Oryctolagus cuniculus: one gene and its partners. The protein of the gene in region 2 purifies or fractionates together with the protein of the main gene of each other region. This does not show direct contact. Links are inferred from orthologs where the notes say so. Each region holds a gene or a part of one and is shown on either strand. Other genes may lie near its edges.

What was found.
Region 1: the proteins of PIP4K2A (region 2) and AHCYL1 purify together in Homo sapiens (co-immunoprecipitation; 3 studies listed by BioGRID and IntAct, counting the BioPlex papers as one, with this or other methods). This does not show direct contact. The link is inferred for Oryctolagus cuniculus from reciprocal best matches to the Homo sapiens genes PIP4K2A and AHCYL1.
Region 3: the proteins of PIP4K2A (region 2) and UBE2H purify together in Homo sapiens (affinity purification with mass spectrometry; 3 studies listed by BioGRID and IntAct, with this or other methods). This does not show direct contact. The link is inferred for Oryctolagus cuniculus from reciprocal best matches to the Homo sapiens genes PIP4K2A and UBE2H.

Annotation. Positions count from the first base shown.
Region 1 is NC_091438.1:60,311,022-60,314,665, forward strand, and holds part of AHCYL1 (S-adenosylhomocysteine hydrolase-like protein 1), read right to left. Parts: intron 2,152-3,644; coding exon 2,008-2,151; intron 1,009-2,007; coding exon 908-1,008; intron 478-907; coding exon 375-477; intron 1-374. UniProt on the Homo sapiens protein: Multifaceted cellular regulator which coordinates several essential cellular functions including regulation of epithelial HCO3(-) and fluid secretion, mRNA processing and DNA replication.
Region 2 is NC_091444.1:48,947,077-48,951,396, forward strand, and holds the start of PIP4K2A (phosphatidylinositol 5-phosphate 4-kinase type-2 alpha), read right to left. Parts: upstream 2,937-4,320; 5' UTR 2,654-2,936; coding exon 2,510-2,653; intron 1-2,509. UniProt on the Homo sapiens protein: Catalyzes the phosphorylation of phosphatidylinositol 5-phosphate (PtdIns5P) on the fourth hydroxyl of the myo-inositol ring, to form phosphatidylinositol 4,5-bisphosphate (PtdIns(4,5)P2). Has both ATP- and GTP-dependent kinase activities.
Region 3 is NC_091434.1:166,050,311-166,053,954, forward strand, and holds part of UBE2H (ubiquitin-conjugating enzyme E2 H), read right to left. Parts: intron 2,074-3,644; coding exon 1,997-2,073; intron 1,502-1,996; coding exon 1,427-1,501; intron 1-1,426. UniProt on the Homo sapiens protein: Accepts ubiquitin from the E1 complex and catalyzes its covalent attachment to other proteins. E2 ubiquitin conjugating enzyme that transfers ubiquitin to MAEA, a core component of the CTLH E3 ubiquitin-protein ligase complex.

The DNA of each region.
Region 1 (3,644 bases), on a different chromosome or scaffold from region 2:
CCTGGCACAGCACTGGAAGTTGTGGCCATATGGGAAGTGAACCGGCAGAGAGAAGATCTCTCTCTCTTTCTGTCTCTCCCTCTCTGTAATTCTGATTTTCAAATAAATAAATACATCTTTAAAAAGATAAAAGAAAAAAGAACTGAGCATTTCCTCATGTCATTAGACTCTTTTCAAAGATCATTTTAAATGCCTACTTAATACCCCATCATGACTACAGACTTTAATTTTATCATCTATTGTTTTCCTGTTCATTTTTATTACCCCTCAATTCTATAACCATTGGACACAAATGGCCATGCAACGACAATTTCAATACATAAATGTTTAGATCATTACTTTAGGGCAAAGTTGGTGAGAAAAGCTGAACTTACCAGCCTCAGCCAGTGCTGCAGCCACTTCATTCTGCGTTGAGTAGATGTTGCAGGCAGACCAGCGGCACTGGGCCCCCAGGGCACACAGCGTCTCGATCAACACCTGTGTGGATGTGCAGGAAGACAGGGTGAGGAAGAGGCGGGCCATGCAGCAGTGGGCAGCAAACCCCAGTAAGAAAGCAGTATCCATCAACTCTACAGCAAGAGAGTCACAAAAGGCTCTAACCCCAGCCAGGCGGCACACTGGTATTTAACTCTACCCAAGATATATGTTTCTGGAAGTCTCTGTTAATGACTTAACAAAATTTTTATAACCATCCTATTTTTGCCAATCTAGATCTTCCTAAGTCAGGTTTTCTAACAGTTGCTTTACCCACACAAAGTTAGAAAACGCCATTATTGCATAACAGGGCAGTCCCATCTAATAGCATTTAGAGGTTGGCTAGATGGGGAAGGAAAAGCAAGTCTATAAAACCCATTTGCCGCTTTCTTCCCCTCATTAGCAGGAATGCCATCTCTTCTAACAAACTCACCGCTGTCTGGGCTGTGATGTGCGTACAGCCCACTATTTTAGCACCAGCCAAGGGCTTCTCCCCCTGAGCACGTTTCCTGAGTGAAATCAGAGCAGACATGTCTGTGAAAGAACAGAGGATTTGAGCTAGGTCCGCACTTAGCAGCATCATCAGCTCCTGCCCCGGCAACACCTAGGGCTGCTCTGGATCTGCTGAGATAGGGTGAGATGAGGCGGAAGACCGCTAGGTGTGTTTCCATGACGACTGGCAGCCTCACCAGCAGTGCCGTGGACAGTTGTCATGTGTCATTTGCGATTTCTCTCTTCCTCTACTGCTTCAGCTTTATATGCAGAGGACTGAACAGAGAATGAAGCAAATTCTCAAACCTGACCAAAATGGAAAGTGAGTCTCATCATTCATTCAGGAGGAGTGGGAAATAGTTGTGGCACTGGCCAATGGACTCCTACACACAATCATCAGGCCCAAAAAAAAACTTTGCCCTCACTGGAAGCAACGTGGCTTCTGTTTTTCCGTGGTTTACCCTACCCTGTCCATCTGTTTGGTTTCTCTCCTCCTTCTCAGTATAAAACAGGCCTTCAGTGGGAAAACAATCAGAGTACAGGGATCTCAGGGGAGTGGAGTAGGACAGAGAAAGCCAGATCTGAGCACCAGTGACTTTCACTCTGCTCCAGCAGAGGGTGCTCAGGACCAAACAAGACCCCAGGCCACCACATCCTTAGCTTAGCACCCTCCCACATCAGCTGCTGCTTCTGGGAGATCCAGGTCTCTGTGACTGGCAGATGTAGTCAGATCCCCATCAGTGACACCACACAGCCATCCAGGACTTGCTGACTCCGCAGTGTAGATCTCTGAACATGCTGCCACGGCGGGGAGAAACAAACTGCTCTGTGGTAACTATCACGCGCTGAGAACAGGAGGAAGGGAGAACAGAACAAGAGCCCAGAACTCAAGCTCCATGGAGAGAGCGTTCGTCTCAAAGCCCCGCCTTCTGTCTCTTCCCAGGGTCCTTTTGGGCTGGCATTCCAGCCCTGAGTTGTTTGTAAACCCTGAGGCCCAGCAAGGGGGCTGCTCCTGGTCCGCCACCCATGCCCGCTCTTTACCTTGCTCCGCAATCTCGATCTCTCGGCGCCCGAATTCTGCCTGCTTGATGTTCTTCACGCAGAAGTTGCTGCTGCCCTTGGAGTTTGTTTGCTGTTTCTCCCGGGGGGAAACCTCATCATCAGAGCTGTCTGTGTAGGATGCAGCTGGAGCCAGGAAAGAAAGAAGAGGCTAGAAAAACCTCAATGGCCCTAGCTCCCCAGAGTGCAGTCCCCAAGGGAGTGTCCTTAAGCTTCGGCGATCAGCCTTAATTGGAGCTACCTTTGACGTCATTCTCAGCTCTACTCTAGGGACTTTAGAAGGTATGAATGAAGCTGGTGGGTCTTTCGGTGTTGCAGTTCCTTTTCTCACCCTAATGCTACTTTGCTGTCACTACCTGTGGTGCCACAAATCTGCCCCTTGTAGCGATCCCAGACAACAGAGGTAACTCGGTCCCAAGCTGGATGGAACCAGAGCTGGCAAAATTGGAAAAATACCACAGGGCAGAAAAGGAATGCTATTTCTACAGATCCCTGGCCTCAAACTTAAGCACCTTTCAGAATCACACGGAAGGTCTGTTAAAACAGACTGTTAGGCCCCACCAAGCTTTCCACTGAGTCAGCATTTCTAACAAGCTCCCAGGTTCTGCTGGTACTGCTGGTCAGAGGACCCCATACTGAGAGCTGCTAGTAAACGTGAATGTGACTAGACAGTCTTACATCAAGAGTTTACAGCAGGTGTGCACTCAAGGAATGTAGAGAAGGGAAGCCACGACACAAAGGCAAGCTGCTCTGGTTCGACTGCCAGCTCTCAGGAAGTGTGTCGAAATGATCAACTTTAAAAAAACAGCTTCTCATGAAAGCTAAAAATACCCTTCAGAGAGACCTGCAAGCAGATGAACAACATCTATCCCTCACCTCTCGAATCTCCTTCCTCCCTGGATTGAGTATTTTCGTCACCGCTGTTCCTGCAGCCTCTCCCAGACTCCTGCCCAGCTAACCCAACACGACCACCAAGGTCATCCTCCCTGCCGGGACGGCTGACCTGCAGCACTCAGCTGTTTTTAATCGCTCTAACAGGTTTCCATGACACGGCCATCATGATCTTGAAGACTTCCTCGAAGTCTTTTTTACTCCTTCCATCTTTCTCCCTCTTCTAACTTGTTCTTTCAGAAGTAACTTTCCTTCTTTCTTAGCTATAACTAGCCTGCTTACCACTCACACCTCTTTGATCTGTCGCTCCAAGATACCTTATACTTTATGACGACAATGATATTTGGAGTGGTTTCTTGCACACCGACGCCCACACATTTGTTGATTTTGGAGCTAAGCCTATCTATCACTAATGTGCATCTGGTCTATATCAGGTTATCAGGGACACAGGTAAGGTGTGTGTGTGTGTGTGTGTGTGTGTGTGTTAACATTCTAGATACCTCAAGCTCAGTCCTTAAATCTCTTTGCTGAGGTGAATAGCAATCTGGGACCCTGGGCAAGCCTTTAAATCTGTTAACAATGACCGTCAGTTGGACAATGAGCGGGTTGGACCCCCTTCATGTTCCCAAAGTTCTGTATCCTCTTCCACATTCATTTTCTAACATGCCCTCTATGGTTGCCAAAGGCACAGCTCAAACCAGACGTAACTTTACTTACAGACAGGCAAG
Region 2 (4,320 bases):
GTAGTTTCTCTTTAGTGCTCCAAATCTGTCGTTATTTCCTAATATCCAGTGATAAGTTCACATGACTGTTCAAAGTACGGAACTACTATATTCATGACAAATCTTAATTCTGATCACATTAGAGATGTAGGAAAAGACATTTAAATTATCTATTCCTTTTCAGCTATACTTTCTCAAGGGTCCCATTCACATCCAGCACTATTTTTGCTCATTCTTAATATTGCTGACATCCTTATTCTCACATTAAACTGTAAACTTTGGGGCACAAGTCATATAAAACATGTATCTACTATCAGATATTATCTCCTAAAATTAAATCAACAAGAAGTACATGGTATCTAAGAGTTTAAATTTCATCCTTACATACACTCTGGTATTCTTCCCCAAAAAACCAGTATATTTAAAACAAATAGACATTTTGAAAAAGAAACTCATGGAAAAGATGCTTTTAATACGAAGGCAGATATCTCTGATATTTGGACATACATATGAGAGGGGTTTTAGCAATCTTTCCCACTGTGGCTGGCACTGCCTGTGCCCAATATAAATAATAGGCTTGTATCCTATGGAAACCTGGAAACCTCACTCCGCTGGCTATGTATACTCACTTCTCATGAAGACAAAAGTAACACCAAACTTACTACCTACAGATGATACATTATAAGCCTTAAGTAGTTTTGAAATATTTCCAATGCAAGAAACTATAAAACAAATGTAGCAAACCATAAAATCCAGTAACACATAAGCAGTCCCAGTAACACATGCACAGTTGCAAGATTTTCTAAAGTAAACTGGAATTCAGACTGATTCCTGGGGAGCACACTTTTTCGGCAGCACACTGTTGACACTACTTTACTAGATTAAACCTTGAAACAAACAATCTCCTGGCCAAAACACCAGAACTCTGAGAGATAAAAACACCCATAAATATGAGTAAGCACAAGGAGACATACATCCTATTCTGTAAATTACAGGTTTCTATCCCAGAAACTAACAACATAATTTTTTTTAAAAAGTGTTTAACAAAATTAGACATAGCTCTAAATTACAGATTTATTACATAGGAAACCATTCGTTTCATTTTCCCCATAAAATTTGGGGGAGTTTTTGGTGCAGCCATGCATGTATGCTGTTGCAACATCTTACAACTCTGATAGTTTTGTTTTTTTTTTTTTTTTTTTAAAGTGTATTTCAGTTAAAATGAACTTAAGCGGATCACACATTAAGCTGGTAGAAACAATTATTTCTCAACTTTGTTAAAAACAGCCACTCCACGCAATCAGCCCTGCTACTGTTTCACCTTTTCCCCCAACACCATCGGGGAATAGAAATCGGACAATGATGCTTCTGAGACATCTTAAACAACTTCGTGAAACCGAGAGTGCTCTCTCAAACACCAACGTGGTTTTCTGCCTTCTCCGTCACGGTGAAAAGGACACAATGACACCCGTGGACATCAAAAGCACGAAAAGCAAGTTTGCCTCTTTCCTCGGATGCCCACTGACTGCAGTGGGCAAGGTCACGGTCAAAATTCGCTGTCTTATTTCTACTTCCGCAGCTCTGCCAACAGCTCCTATCACATTTCCTGATCCCCATCTGAGTTGATTAAAACTGCAGGAGTTCCTCGCGGTAAGATCTGCAGGAGGCTGTTTCGGACCCTCGCACCGCAAACCGCATAGCCCGCGGGGGCGCATCTTCCACCGCCCGTGGCCGTACGCAAAGCTTCCCCAGGCGTTCTCCTGCAGCCTTTTAAACACAGCCCCTGCGCAGAGGCTGTCAGCTCAAGACCCCCCGTCCGCGCCCGCCGGGACCCCTCCAGCGGGCCCCGCCCGGACCGCCCTCCGCAGGCGGCGGCTTAGGGCCGGCTGCAGGAGGAGGTGAGCGGAGCGCACTCCCCGCCAATGGCTCCTCCGCCCGCGATGCGGGAGACGAGCGGCCCAAGATGCTGAACACCAGTGCAACACTTGCACTGGCTTCTAATTTGCCAAAAGGCCTCCTCGTGTCTAATAATACTTCCTTTAAAGAGGAGGGGGGGAGACCTAAGCTCTTAAGCTGTTGCCCCAAATCGTGCTCTCCCGACCGCCCGCAGGAGGTTCCGGACGCCCCCAACCTGGAACAGGTACACCTGCCTGGCGGCGGGGGGTACCGGAGCGGTGGCCTGGACTCGGCCCCCAGCAGCCGCTGACAGGCGAGGCGGAGCCGTGCCCCGCACAAACTTCCCACTTCCCAAGCTGCGGGGACCTCCCTGCGGGCGGGCGAGCGGACCGCGGGCAGCACCAGCACCGGCCGCAGGGCTCAAACGCAGACCGGACCCCTCGTGCCGCTCCGGGTCCGAAGGTCCAAAGGGGGCGCAAGTGGTCGGGAGGGGAGAGCGCGCGCCCCGGGGCCGGGGGCGCCGAAGTGGAGGGTGAGACCCAGCAGGTTCCGGCTGCCCGCCCCGCAGCAGCCGCGGCCGGAGGAGGAGGGGAACGAGGAGGAAGAGGACCGCGCGCCGCAGCCGAGCCCTTACCGAGTGGTTTACCCCCCACATCAGGACGCTGAGCAGCGGGTCGCTGGCCCGGAACAGCTTCACTTTCTGCGCTACGAAGTGCTTCTTCTTGGTCTTGGTCTTGCTCGCCAGCACAGAAGACCCCAGGTTTCCGGGGGTCGCCATGGCCGCCGCCTCCGTCCCCTCCACCGCCGCGCTCCCGAGGCCGGGGACCCGCCCTCTACACACCCGCCCGGGGAGGCAGCCGCATCCCCTCGGCGGCGGCCCCGGCGCGCCGTGCCCGCTTCCGCCTGCCGCCGCCGCCGCCGCCGGCGCACTCGGCCCCACTCGGCTCGCTCCGCCCGCTCGGCCCAGCTGCGGCGGGAGGCTGTGCCCGGCTCGCGCCCCGGCCCGGCTCCCGCGCCCGCCGCGGCTCCGCGCTCAGCCCGCGGCTGGACCAGGCGCGCCGCGAGCGGCTTCCGCGTTGGGCGCCGGCGTCATGACGCAGGGGGCGGGCGGGCAGCAGCTGCGGCGCCGCCAGGCGGGGCGCGGGGCGCGGCCGCCGGACCGTTAGGCTGCGCGCTCCGGCTCGGGCTCCGGCTGCGGCTCCTGCTTCCCGCGGCCCGGCTGCCCCGGTGCGCAGGAGAGCTCGGGGAGGCAGCTCCAGGCCACGCGGAAGAGGCCGCGGGGTGAGCGTTGGCTGCTGGGAGCGTGAGCACTCCGCTGGGCATCCCCTCTGCTCTCCAGAGAGCGGAGAGGAAGGGAGGCGCTGGGAGCGGGGAGGTGGCGGGGAGCCCCCAGAGGCCTGAGCCAGGGAAGCGAGGAGGCTCAGGGAGCCGCTGCTTAACGGTTCCGGGAGTCCCGGAGAGCTGGTGCACCCTGAACGCCGCATGCGGAGCCAGGCTCCCCAAGCGCCAAGTCGGAGCATCTTGGCACGTGGACGTCCACCTTGAAAAGTGCCCCTGAACCGAACTTAATCCGTATGCGCCTTCACCTTTTTGGCCCTTTGGGTTTGCTCTTTCCCAGACTCCCTGAGTCATTCGAGAGGGAGAATCGCACCTAATACTCTGCCCTGTCATTCCCTGCCCTCGCTGCTCCCCAGGCAGGACCCTGGATCGCTCTCCAGAGCCCTTGGTTTAGCCAGAAACACGGCCCCTAAATTGCACCTCCTTCTTGAAGTCCGTCAGCGCAGCGTGTTCCTCACCATCCCTACCCGCCCCCCCCGCCCCCCCCCCCGCCACAGTATCCTCACCTTCCTCCGTGGAAACCTGGTCGCCATCTCCATGGGTACCTACGTTTAGCTGTTATGCTAGGAGTGCCTGGCCCACCTCTGAGGCTACCAAGTACATCTAAAAGCCTGCTGTTTTGTAACTTCCCCAGTCATCTCATCGCATGCCAGGTACTCGCTCTCACTCAGCTCAGGGGTGACATTGTCGCCAATTATCAGTTTTACCCTGCCCCAATACAGGGCTGTGCTCTGTGCCCTTGGTGTACCCTGCTTGGTTCTGTTTGGGAGACAAAGGATGAGGGATTCCTTAAGGAGCTTCCGTGGGGTGGGGCGGCAGATCCTGGGATCACCCTCATGTGCTCTTCAGAGGGACGGCCCAGAGTTCTCTAGTTCTTTTCCACTTTCTTTTTACTACCATCAAAAATGATACCTGCTCCCCCGGCATCAACCATCGCCACTTTTAGTGGTTAAAAAGAAAAACAAAAACAAAAAACAAAACAGGGGCAGGTGTTGTGGCATGAGGGATTAAGCCGCAGCCCGCGGTGCCTGCATCCCAGATGGGCATCATCTGTGTCCCTGCTGCTCCACTTCCAATCCAGCTCCCTGCTAATAGCCTGGAGAAAGC
Region 3 (3,644 bases), on a different chromosome or scaffold from region 2:
GCTGGATAGGAGGAAGACGTGGCCTTAAGAAACAGATCAGCTGGGGCTGGGGAACCATAAAATCTGCCAACAGCCCTCCAAATGCATGAAACTTAGACTCTGTTGCCAGGGGAGGAGCTAGGAAAAGGGCGGCTGCCCCACCATGCAGGTGTTTGAGGCAGACTTATTCAGGGCTCTCTGCAAAAGGCTCCACACCCCCAGTCTGTTTCACCATCCCTAACTCTAAACTCGGGGCCCCTGTGGCAATGATGAAATTTCTGATTCAATTATCCACAAAATATTTTCTCAAGTACCAGGTTTAGAAAACCTCAAGGAAATTACCAGTTTATTCTTCCAAATGAGCACTAAGAGCTCCCCAGCCATTACAGATGCATTGTAGGGTTTTTATAGCATAAAACTCTACAGCACAGAAAGTAGCTAGATGTTGGGGAAGATGTTGCTGCTTTTAGTTGGAACTTGGTGACTATCCCAACTTTTCTGCACACTGACTCCACACAGCAATGTGGGGGCGTGGGATCAAGGCCTAGAGCTCAGAATGTTTCCTTTAAAATGAAACAAACAATAACCCTTTGCTGGGAGTAGGGGGTATAAGGGGTGGCCTAACTCCAGCTCTGAAGGCAGCCTAAGGCAGTGGCAAGATGTTTTTTTAACTTTGGCAACCCTGAAAATGAGGCTTGCTCAGACCGTCTGAACACACAGTGTACGCCAATATTATTTTACTATTCTCACTTAAAGTCGGTCACAAGTTTGTAATATTTTAAAGCTATGTATAGACTGAAGTGAAAAGGTTGGATTAATTAAATCATCACCATTCTATAATTAATACATTTGAAAGTATCAATTTTCAACTGGATGTTACCTTTGTAGCACGGGACATTAAAATCCCCCCATTCTCACCGAGTACCTTAACAGGGACAACAGGTAACAAGATCACCAGGTAAGGCAGAAGGAAGATGAAGGCGTGGAAGAAGTACCACTTCGTACAGCCCCACTGAGGCTCTGCGGTTTAGAGGCTTTATATAAAGATTCCGGATGGAGACGAAGGAAAAGGACCATTTCGTTGCTACATACCCAGAGCTGTACCCAGAACAAACACAAATTAAGATCTACAGAGGATTTTTAAATGACAAAACTAAAATAGATTCTACATAGATTCGTGCCAACAAACCCAGATTTAAGACTGTTCATTATTTTACTGCTCACAACCAGAAAGGGCCGTGGGCCTTAACGTTGGTTTAATTTGACACTAAAAGAGAGAAATCTAGAGATTGTCACTGTGATTATGTGAAAAGGAAAATGTGAATGTCTTCCATGACACCAAGGAAGTGCCCCCCCAAAGTCACAGAACATAGCTAAGTCACTGTTTCTGGAGTTAATTACCCACGAGATGCTGGGTTTCTTCTCATAGATAAAACCAGCCACGTACCTATAGATGGAGACTTGAAAGGGTATTTATCAGGAAGATCCACTCTAACTTTCCACACTCCGCCTTCATACGGTGCTGAAATAAAAGCCAACATGTTAAACACCAGAACTGAGTCCAAATCAGAAAATAAACCTCAGTGTAAGTTAAACATTAACCCTCGCCTCCTCAGATAACCTTTCAAATTGGCTCCTTCAAGAGCCAGGGACCTATTACAACCCAAAAGTACCCTACATTCAGATTAAGATATTTTTGCTTAAAAGACATGGAGTTAGAAGATAAGCCAAGGTTCATTCTCTCTCCCAAATTTACTTGTTTAGTATTAAACATTATTGTCCTTTTCTCTTCTATCTTAAAAACAAAAAAACAAAGAAACAAAAAAACAAAAACAAACCTTCATGCCTCCCTCCAAATGAAAACAAAAAACATTTCCCAGAAACCACCCATAAACCAAACCAGAATCCACAATTCATGTCTAATAGTATCACATAAAGATGTTTAAAAGTCGACTGTAAAAAGTCAATGTTTAGAGACAACTGTAGCAGAGGAACACATACCAATACGTGTACTTACTTCCTTGTGGTCCATAAAACTTCACTACAAACTCATTGAGTCCTCCCAGGATCGTAACCTCGTGTTTACTCTCAATGCTAAGGTGAACAGTGAAGGAAATTACACAGGCTTTACAACACCTGGAAGAAAACTGATGACATCCCATCCCCCAAGATACACCATTTAAAAGGTAGCCAAAATTGACAGTTATCAAACATAAAATATATAATAATTCCATAGTTTAAGATGCAACAAGTACTCTTAAGAGTGAGTAAACTTTGGATTCAGAGGGGCTAGGGCTCAAATTCAAGGACTGCCACATACTGGATTTGAGAGTCTAGAAGAAATAACATACATTCATTCCCCAAGTCTTCGTGCTTTCTCTGCAAACTGGGGACCACCACTTCCTAGAATTCCGAGAAATAAATGGGCTAACTATGTAAAATCTGTAAGACTACATTTTACCTACAGGGACATGAAAAGCGGGAACTTACTTGTAGCTGCTCTCCTCCATACTCTCCTTCCCAACCTACCCCCAACTGAGCCTTTAACATAAATCCAATCCAGTATTCCCTGTATCTAAGCTCAAATACCTCACCAGACACTGATTCGCTTCAACTGGAATGTTGCACTCCCACATGATGAACCTGCCAGGCCCTCACAACGCTCTCCTCTGCTGCACAATTCAGACTAGCTAGTGATGCACCCGTGCTGGAAGCAGTACTGCCAAAGGCAAACGACCACCCCAAGTTCTTCTGAAAAAACCTAATGCTCTTTTGTGGCACTTCCCATGTGCCTCTAGGCTGTGCTTCACTCCAGAGCTCTAAGCAAAGAGGGGTACTACTTCTGTGTGGTCTTCCTCAAAAGCCCGCCTGCCCTCAAGACTTCCTTCCCTTAGAAAGTACTAAGATTCACAAGTACTAGTACCTTAGAAAGCACTAAGATTCAATTACAGAAACCAAATCTATCCTTTTCATTTTTATTTTTTATTTATTTATTTTTTTTTTGACAGGCAGAGTGGACAGTGAGAGAGAGAGACAGAGAGAAAGGTCTTCCTTTGCCGTTGGTTCACCCTCCAATGGCCGCCGCGGCCGCCGCGCTGCGGCCAGCACACCGCGCTGATCCGATGGCAGGAGCCAGGAGCCAGGTGCTTTTCCTGGTCTCCCATGGGGTGCAGGGCCCAAGCACCTGGGCCATCCTCCACTGCACTCCCTGGCCACAGCAGAGGGCTGGCCTGGAAGAGGGGCAACCGGGACAGAATCCGGCGCCCCGACCGGGACTAGAACCCGGTGTGCCGGCGCCGCTAGGCGGAGGATTAGCCTAGTGAGCCGCGGCGCCGGCCAAATCTATCCTTTTCAGAAGAGAGGGTTACCGGCCTAAGATCTGTTCTATATTTCTGCTTATGGTACCACCAAATAATAACTATTGACAGGATTTTTAATTTGAGAGGCAGTGAGAGACAGAGAGCCGCCAATCTATTGGCTCATTCCCCAAGTGGCCCACAATGAAGGGCGCAGAAGTGGGAGCCAGAAACACATCCCAGGTCTTCCACGTGGATGGCAGCAACTCAAGGACTTGAAGTCACTACTGCTGTCCCCCAGGGTCTGCACTGGCAGCCAGCTGCAATCAGGAGCCAGAGCAAGGGCATCGAATCTAAGCACTTGGATGA